2 linked regions of the Callithrix jacchus genome follow. The protein of the gene in region 2 purifies or fractionates together with the protein of the main gene of each other region. This does not show direct contact. Links are inferred from orthologs where the notes say so. Each region holds a gene or a part of one and is shown on either strand. Other genes may lie near its edges.

Evidence for each region.
Region 1: the proteins of UQCRB (region 2) and COX6B1 purify together in Homo sapiens (affinity purification with mass spectrometry; 3 studies listed by BioGRID and IntAct, counting the BioPlex papers as one, with this or other methods). This does not show direct contact. The link is inferred for Callithrix jacchus from reciprocal best matches to the Homo sapiens genes UQCRB and COX6B1.

Annotation. Positions count from the first base shown.
Region 1 is NC_133523.1:31,848,740-31,853,324, reverse strand, and holds the start of COX6B1 (cytochrome c oxidase subunit 6B1), read right to left. Parts: upstream 2,878-4,585; 5' UTR 2,800-2,877; intron 270-2,799; 5' UTR 259-269; coding exon 153-258; intron 1-152. UniProt on the Homo sapiens protein: Component of the cytochrome c oxidase, the last enzyme in the mitochondrial electron transport chain which drives oxidative phosphorylation.
Region 2 is NC_133517.1:31,005,144-31,009,563, reverse strand, and holds the start of UQCRB (cytochrome b-c1 complex subunit 7), read right to left. Parts: upstream 2,804-4,420; 5' UTR 2,790-2,803; coding exon 2,771-2,789; intron 36-2,770; coding exon 1-35. UniProt on the Homo sapiens protein: Component of the ubiquinol-cytochrome c oxidoreductase, a multisubunit transmembrane complex that is part of the mitochondrial electron transport chain which drives oxidative phosphorylation.

The sequences.
Region 1 (4,585 bases), on a different chromosome or scaffold from region 2:
CCTGGACCTGAAGAGCAAGTGATAAGAAGCATGGGTCCCCTAGAGGAAGGATGTCCAGAAGAAAAGGGAGGATGCTGGGATGGATGGGTCCCCTAGGAAGAGGCAAGAGGTGAGTGACTAGAGGTGTGGGGCCAGGGAAAGGTCCTGCTTACCCAGGTAGTTCTGCCAGCAGTTCCTGGTCTGGTTCTGGTTGGGAAAGCGGCTGTCAAAAGGGGCAGTCTTGTAGTTCTTAAGTTTGGCCTTCATCTCTTCTGCCATGGTGCTGAATCCTGGAGATGAAAGGAGTGGGTGTTGGCAGGGGCCCCGAGCAAGTCAGACTACCCAGGATCAATGGAAGAGAGGAGGCACTGAAGAATGGTGGGGGTGTGAACAAGTTCCTGCCTCTCAACATATATGCAGAGATGAGGGGCAGGGCGCTCCACACATCTGTGCGTGGAAGTTGTGGCAGCATTAGGGTGCGACTCCTCAGCAAAATCAAGCCTGGTTCCCAAATAACATGAGCTAACACTGAATGCTTACTACATGCCAGGTGCTGTTCTACACACCTGACTCCTACGGCTGCTCTAAAAGTAGGAACGTAGGAACTATTACTATCACCACTGCCCAGACGAGGAAGGAACAGGGTGTCTAAGTGACTTCCTAAGGTTATCTGGCATAAAAATAAATGGTGGGCTACCTCCATTTTTGGCATAATCTACACTGCAAAGGTTCTTAATCTTTTTGGTGCCACAGACTCCTCAGTGGTCTCACGAATCCCATAAACCTCTCACTGAATATGTTTTTTTTTTTTTTTGAGACAGACCCTTGTTCTGTTGCCCAGGCTGGAGTGCAGTGATGCGATCTAGGCTCACTGCAACCTTTGCCTCCCAGGTTCAAGCAATTCTGTTGCCGCAGCCTCCTGAATAGCTGAGATTACAGGTGCCCACCACCACACCCAGCTACTTTTTTTGCATTTGAGTAGAGACGAGGTTTCACCATGTTGGTCAGACTGGTCTCGAACTTCTGACCTGAGATGATCCACCCACCTTGGCCTCCCAAAGTGCTGGGATTACAGGCGCGAGCCACCAAACCTGGCCTGAATATGTTTAAATGTATTACAACATTGCATAGGTTCCATGAGTACATGAAGAAGTTAAAAAAAAAAAACAAAAAACTGGAATAGTATCACAAAGAAAACCAGTTATATCCAGCTGAGGATTCATTAAGAAATACAATTCTGGCCAGGTGCGGTGGCTCATGCCTATAATCGTAACACTTTGGGAGGCCAAACCAGGTGGATCACCTAAGATCAAGAGTTCAAGACCAGACCGGCCAACATGGTGAAATCCTGTCTCTACTAAAAATACAAAAATTAGCCAGGTGTGGTGGTGGGTGCCTGTAATCCCAGCTATTTGGGAGGCTGAGGCAGGAAAATCGCTTGAACCTAGGAGGTGGAGGTTGCAGTGAGCTGAGATTACACCATTGCACTCCAGTCTGGGTGACAGAGCAAGACCCCCTGCAACCTCACTCAAGTAACCATGAGTGGATATAGTATTTTGTGACATCTGCATTTATAATGTGATATAAGAATATCTGTGATTTTAGGTGGGGCACTGTGGCTCACACCTACAATCCCAACACTTTGGGACGCTGAGGTAGGAGTATCACTTGAGCGCAGGAGTTCAAGACCAGCTTGTGAAACCCCATCTCTACAAAAAAATAGTAAAATTAGCCAGGTGTGGTGGCGCATGCCTGTGGTCCCAGCTACTGAGGTAGGATCGTTTGCACGGGGATGCAGAGGTTACGGTGAGCCAAGATTTCTCCACTGCATGCCAGCCTGGGTACACAGAGACCTTCTCAAAAAAGGAGAAAAAAATATCTATGGTTTTGATTGCTAACAAAATCACAGCTGCTGCTAGTACTAACGAGGTTGTTGCCTCAAAAGGTTAATACACAGATAGAATTCCACCCCCTCACCCCAATTCAAATACTGGGGTAATTCCACACAGTCACCCCAATTCAAATACATTCCTGGAATTCTTCCAACTCTGCAGACCGAGGGTTAAAAATCTTTAATATAATGTCTCTGAAGAAGTGACACATAATGTTCGTCGGGAACCTGAAAGTGTCTATATTCGAGGGAATCCCAGGAGTCGTGGGGCTATACAGAAACCTGCAGAGCAGCGTCAAATTCAAGCGATGCAAAGTGGTGGTGGGGGTCTGGAGCACTAAAACGGTCTTTCGATGGGGAGGTGGGGTGTATGTAAAACACCACCGCTGGGGCACAGATGCAATCAGAAGGATGGTTACCGGCGATATCTCGAGCCGGTATCTGAGGATGAGGGTGCTTCGGAGGTGACGCTGCGGCCCCTCCCACGTCCAAAAGGGAGGATTGACAGAACACCAGGGAGTCAGGCTGCAGCCCAGGTAAGCCGCGGGAGGCCACGCCCCTGAATTTGCGATGAACCCTGGAGGACAAACTCCTGGGCCAAATCCTGGTCGCGTGTAGGCTCGGCTAGGTCCCTTGGTATCTCCAAACCTGTTTACTGTCAAAAGGGGATGATCCCAGGCCTGTCTTAGAACTCTCTGGTGGGAGAGTTAAATGAATAATTTAAGTTGTTTGGGATGTTGCCTTGCATCAAGGAAGAACTCCTGTTATATCACTGTTAGTTCTTACGAAGAACAGAACAACAGGGTCCCGGGGCCCAGGGAGGCTGGACGCCGCCAGCCAGAAGCCTCAACCCGTTCTCGGGGAAGCTAGGGTTCAGATCCTCAGCCCGTTAGGCTGGGGTTCCAGGTTCCAGAACCCTTCACACTCACCTAAAAGCACCCCCGATGCACCTTGCAGCTCAATGTGACCCTCTGCAAAGACTCCAGAGTCGGACAGGAACCGGAACTAAGGCCAGCCGGAAGCTGAGCGAGATGGGGTATAGGGGAGTCTTCCGGACGGCTAGAGCTCCCGCCCAGGAGGTGGCCAACGACGCCATTCAGGTCACGCCCAGCAAGAGAACTACGACTTTCTATTGGGCTGAATGCTTGTTTATTATCACTCCTGGCCCAGTCGTGAGCTTGCGCGGCTGGGGCTCGGACGCCCAGGTGTTTATCACCTCCGGGTCTTCACTCGGAGAATGCGTTGCAGATCCCGGGATGCGCTGGAGGGTCGGTGTGGGGAAAAATGTCTCAGCAAAAGTACTTTAATTCATGCAATAATTATTTATTGAACGCTTTTCTGCGTCAGGTACTTCTTTTCTTTTTAAAAAATTTCTTTTTTTTTGGTGCCGTGACTCGGAATTCTTTTTTTTTTTTTTTTTAATTTTATGACAGGGTCTTAGTCTGTGGCCCAGGCTGGAGGGCAGTGGTGCGAACTCGGCTCACTGCAACCTCCGCCTCCCGGCTTCAAGCGATTCTCCACCTCAGCCTCCCGAATAGCTGGGACTACAGGTGCCCACCACCACGCTCGGCTAATTTTTGTATTTTTTAGTAGAGACGGGGTTTCACCACGTGGGTCCAGCTGGTCTCGAACTCCTGACCAGCCTGTCTCTTTTGTTGTTGTTGCAGAAAGGTGATTTTATTCAAGGAGAGAAAAGAGAAAAAAGAAGAGAGAAAACTTCCACGAAGAGTGTGGAAGGGAAATCCAGGAGGGGGAAAGAGAGCTCCTACTATGTGGGAGGGGATTCCAGACAGCTGGAAATCCCCAGCCTGTCTCCCCCCCCCCAAAAAAAAAGCTTGGATCTACGAAGGGTCTGGCAGAAATGGTTCCCTTTGGGAAAATGACTAACTCTGTGCTTCTGGCCACAGAATAGTCCTTGACTCTCTGATCCTTCTCATACCGGATAGCTGACCTAGAAATCCTGTTGGTTTTTCCTGCAAGTATATCCATATCTTCCTCTAGCCCATTTGGTTCAAGCCACCATCACCTTCAGACTGGACTGTTGCAGTAGCACACTCCCTGGCCTCCTGGCTTCCAGCTGCCTTCTGCAATATGCCCACCCCGCCAGAGGAATACTGGTCTGACTCTTAGTCTAAAGCCAATGTCCTAATAAATGATCTACATAATTTTTTCTTTCTTTCTTTTCTTCCTCCCTTTCTTCCTTTTTTCTTCTTTCTCTTCTTTCCTTTATTTTCTTTCTTTCTTTTTGGACTGAATCTCGCTCTGTTGCCCAGGCTGGAGTGCAGTGGCACAATCTCGGCTCACTACAACCTCCACCTTCTAGGTTCAAGCGATTCTCCTGCTTTGGTCTCCCCAGTAACTGGGATTATAGTCATGCGCCACCACACCCAGCTAAGTTTTGTATTTTTAGTAGAGACAGGGTTTTTCCATGTTGCTCAGGCTTGTCTACAACTCCTGGCCTCAAGCCATTGTGCTGCTTCAACCTCCCAAAATGCTGTGATTACAGGTGTGAGCCACTATGCCTGGCCCACATTGATAGTTTTTAGCAGTGGTGTGAGATCGTCCACCTCTGGGCCTTTGCTCTTGTTCCTTCTGCCTGAAACATTCTTTGCCTATCTGACTTCTCAAATCAGCTGTCTCCTGTTCCAGGGCTAGGTCAGGTCCTTCCTTTTGGCCTCCTTCAATCCCCTGGAGTCTTCTCATCCCAGCTCAAAA
Region 2 (4,420 bases):
TCGCATAATCTCCAGCAACCTGCTTGATGCTGAAACTGATCATTGTCACACTGTTAGTTGCCAGAATTAAACTATATGAACACTTTGATAGGGAAGCAACCAGTACTCATAGTTATCTTGCTAATACAAACATAGAAATTTCCTTTTAAATGTATATACTCTATATAGGAAGAATTTAATTAAAAAAGAATTTGATTTAAAAGAAAAAAGTTTACACTCTATACACTGCTGATAAAAAAAATGCTTATTTTACTTATGAACAAAAGTGGCTGCAGGAAAAAAAATTAGGTGGCAAGTCATGGAAGAAAAGGTTAAACTCAAACACTGAATGTACAAAAGATCTACAGGTACATCACGTGCCCTCTTATAGCCCCATTACCTTCAAAATTGAAGGGGTGGGAGATAGGAATAGGACTTGGATGTTTCTATTATTTGTAGTTTCATAAATAGATCACCGGAAATAATTGTAAAGCTTTCCATTTCAAAGGAGTTGGAGTTGTATGAAAAGAGACTGAGATTTCAGCAGAGGCTGGCAGGCCTAAATGACCCCCATCCTCTAAAATTTTTACTCAACATTAGTTATTTCACTTGGCCACACTCTCTAAACATTTATGTATTTTGGGGAGAATTTTGATACCATTAGTCATTTAAACATTAATGTGGATTAGTAAAAGAAGTCCATCTTCCTCCTCTTAAGCAGCTAAGTTCTCCCCAAGGGAATGGATACTGAAAACGGATGAGGAGAAATAAATAATTTTAAATCTCTTTGGGGAGCAGGGATGAGCCTGATGAAGTAACCCAGCAGGGTCCAAGGACAGCATGACAGTACCTGACATTTTAGGAGAGACATTTTAGAAAGGGGGAGGTAGCTGGGGAGAAATGCCAAATGTGGGTGAAGGGGAGAAGAAAAGAAAGCACACTGCCATGTGTGTACCTACGCAACTGTCTTGCATGCTCTGCTCATGTACCCCAAAACCTATAATCCAATAAAAAATTTAAAAAAAAAAGAAAAAAAAAAAAAGAAAGGGGGAGGTAGAACAAGTATAATTTTCTTTTAAAATTTTGTCTAGGGCTAGCCCCTTACCAAAAAGGAAAGCAAACTCTCACTCAACTGTCCTTGCCTGCACACTCAGTGCACTACGGATTACATGGCTTCAGTAAATCTCCTTGGAAATTAAGAGTCATGTATAAAACTGCTGCTAGAAAAGTAAGTATGAGTCAACAATCTACAGACATACTTGTGGAAGACAGATTATTATTATTGTTATTATTTTGAGATGGAGTTTCACTCTGTCACCCAGGCTGGAGTGCAGTGGAGTGATCTTGACTCAAGCTCCGCCTCCCAGGTTCAAGCGATTCTCTAGCCTCAGCCTCCTGAGTAGCTGAGACTATCGGTGCCCGCACCACGCCTAACTAATTTTTGTATTTTCAGTAGAGATGGGGTTTCACCAGACTGGCCAGGCTGGTCTCGAACTCCTGACCTCGTGATCCACCTGCCTCGATCTCCCAAAGTGCTGGGATTACAGGTGTGAGCTACCACGCCTGGCTGGAAGACAGATTATTTTTAAACATCTACCAGTGACTATGATAATAATTAATATTCACTAAGCACTTACTGTGTGCCAAGCACTTTCCTATTTGCTTTACCAACATTAGCTGATTTATTTACATGTCTGTTATTACAGAAGGGGAAGGAGGCTTACAGAAGTGATCCCACCAAAGGTCAGAAGAGTTAGCTAATGGGAGTTGAGATCTGGTCTATATGGTTCCCAAACACAGCACAGAAGCAGTGTTTTGAATTTAGTAAGACTCCCACAATAGCTGCCAAATTCATAAAATAATTACTAAAAAGTCTCCCCCCATCCCTAAAAAGCTCAACGCCAATTAGGTTAACGGATTTTTCTGGCAACTTGCTGTTTCCTAACAGCTTCACAGGTGCTGGAGAAGGGGAGGAAAAGATCAGTATTTTTTTAAAAACTGCTCTAATTTGTACCGCCAGTGGGCAGAGATTAGCAAAAACAAAAACAAAAACAAAAAACCCAGGGAAAACCCAACTTAAGGTTCACTTTGTTTTAAGTATTCCAGTAATATCTGCATTCTATTCCACAATAAATGCATTTGAACCTCCAATAAGTAAATTTCTCCAAATCTACTGATTAAGCTGACGTTCCAGATAATCCAAGGTTAACCTGAAGCGTTGCTTGTATCCCCTGCTCAACAGCCTCTAATTCGCAATTTGAGAAGCGCGAGGGGTGCAATGAAGTTTCTAATTCTACTTCCTTGGGTTATGTTGCCTCAGTTATCTCATCAGCGTAGAAAGGAAATTAATATCTCCCTCATCGCACTGGCAGGAGAATTTATTCAGCCAATGCACACGACAGAGCGATTAGGTCACAGAAAGCACTGAGCTCATTCTGGTTCAAAGTCATCGACTAGTTACCCCCTTGTGCCCTTGAACTTTTCTAAGGCCGACGGGAAGGAATGCCGAACACCTGCAGCTGGAACTCCAGGGCTGTCAGAGCCACCGCGGGCACCTCCACAAACAGCGGGTTAATATCCCAACTCTACAGGCAAGCCCGGCCTGGGGACAGCAAACGAATGGGGAGGCAAGTACTTTCGGCTGAACTGAAGCCACCACTTTCCCTTCCGCGACAAACCTGGCCATTTACAAAGAAGAGAGAAAACGGAGCGAACTGCTGCGAAAATAAAAGGTGTAGCGCGACTATGCCCGCCAAGGAAGACCCCCTCCCACCCCCCGCCAATCACTTACCAGCCGGCCGGCCAGCCATTATGACCAGAAAGCGAAGCGTCGCCTTCTGGGTAAGTCAAAGAGGACAGGCTGGGCGCAGTGCGCAGGCGCGTTACGTCGCGTCGCGAATCGATGAAGGCCGCTCGCACAGGCGCAGTTCTGACGGCTGTCGGTGAGCACCTGCGGGCGTACATCTCCGCCAGGGTGAGGCCAATAGAGTGGGCGGGGCATTTGGCGTGCTCTGTTCTAAGAAGCATTGGTTGCGGTATGTTGGGAAGAACACTAGGACAGGAATTAGGAGACCGAGGCTTAAGGCTAGGTTCTGTTACTTAATGTCCATAGCTATGAGAGCGTGGGCGGTATTAATTGAGCTCTTTGTGCCAGGCAGGAAGCAAGGGCATCATCTTATTTAGTTTTCTATTGAAGGACTGATGAATGTGCCATCCAAAATATATGGAATTGGTACATTGATTATTTCGAGTTGAAAATGTTGGAGAAATTGTAGTTTCACTAAGTGTTTGATGACCCATCTCTTCCTGCATGCAGCAAGCCATAAAGCTTCCTCCAGTACTCCTTTGGAGTACTCGTCCCTTACCAGGGGGAGAAAATATCACCCATCACCGGAGACTGGAAACTGGGGGCTGCTTTGGACCTGAATATACTTTCCGAAGTAACCCTTGTCTTCCACTGAGTTGACACCCCACCACACACACGTTTCTCCTAATGACTCCACAAGAAATTTACTGCCCCTAGCCACATCCCCTTTCTTCTCAGATTTGCCATATAAAGTATACTCTTCTAAAAAGTATAAAGGCATCTTGCATTGGCCATTTCACTCTCTTGTGAAGATCTCCGTGTACATGTAAAACTAATTTGGAGGCTTTTCTCTTGTTAATCTACCTTGTGTCAATTTGGTTCCTAGATCCAACCAAAGAGCTCACATAAGAGAAGAGGGGAAAGAGGGTTGGAGGTGATCTCTCACATCCTACACTATCACTTAATTCTGAAAGTACTGTAATTATCTCATTGTAGAGAGGAGAAAGCTGAGGCTCAGAAAGGTTGAGTAACTTGTCCAAGAGCACACAGCTAGAAGAGTCCAGGTTCTCCTTCCAGAGTCTGAGAATCCAGACACAAATTTGGGGGCTACTTAATTCTAGGGCCATATGTTACACTACTAATCCAGGAGAGACACCGAGCTTCTCAGGCCTTGGGTTTCTCCAGCTGAAGATCTACATCTAGCTATATTAGCGGAAGGTTAGGTCAAAGAAGTTTGTTTTTGTCACCTCTTTTTTTGTTGTTATTCAGCCTCTGTCAGTCAGGCTGAATGGCACAATCTCGGCTCACTGCAATCTCTGTCTCCTGAGTTCAAACTATTTGTGCCTCAGCCTCCTGAGCAGCTGGGACTACAGGTGCACATGCCACCATGCCTACTAATTCTTGTATTTTTAGCAGAGATGGCGTTTCACCGTGTTGACCAGGCTGAACAAACTGAGTATCAAACTCTTGACCTCAAGTGATCCACCCACCTTGTCCTCCCAAAATGCTGGATTACAGGCATGAGCCACCATGACCAGCAGAAGAGATTTTTTGAAGATTAAATCTAAGATGTATTGCAGAATTTGCACACAATTTTAAGACAAAATGGAAGTATTTGCTGACTTTTAAGATCTC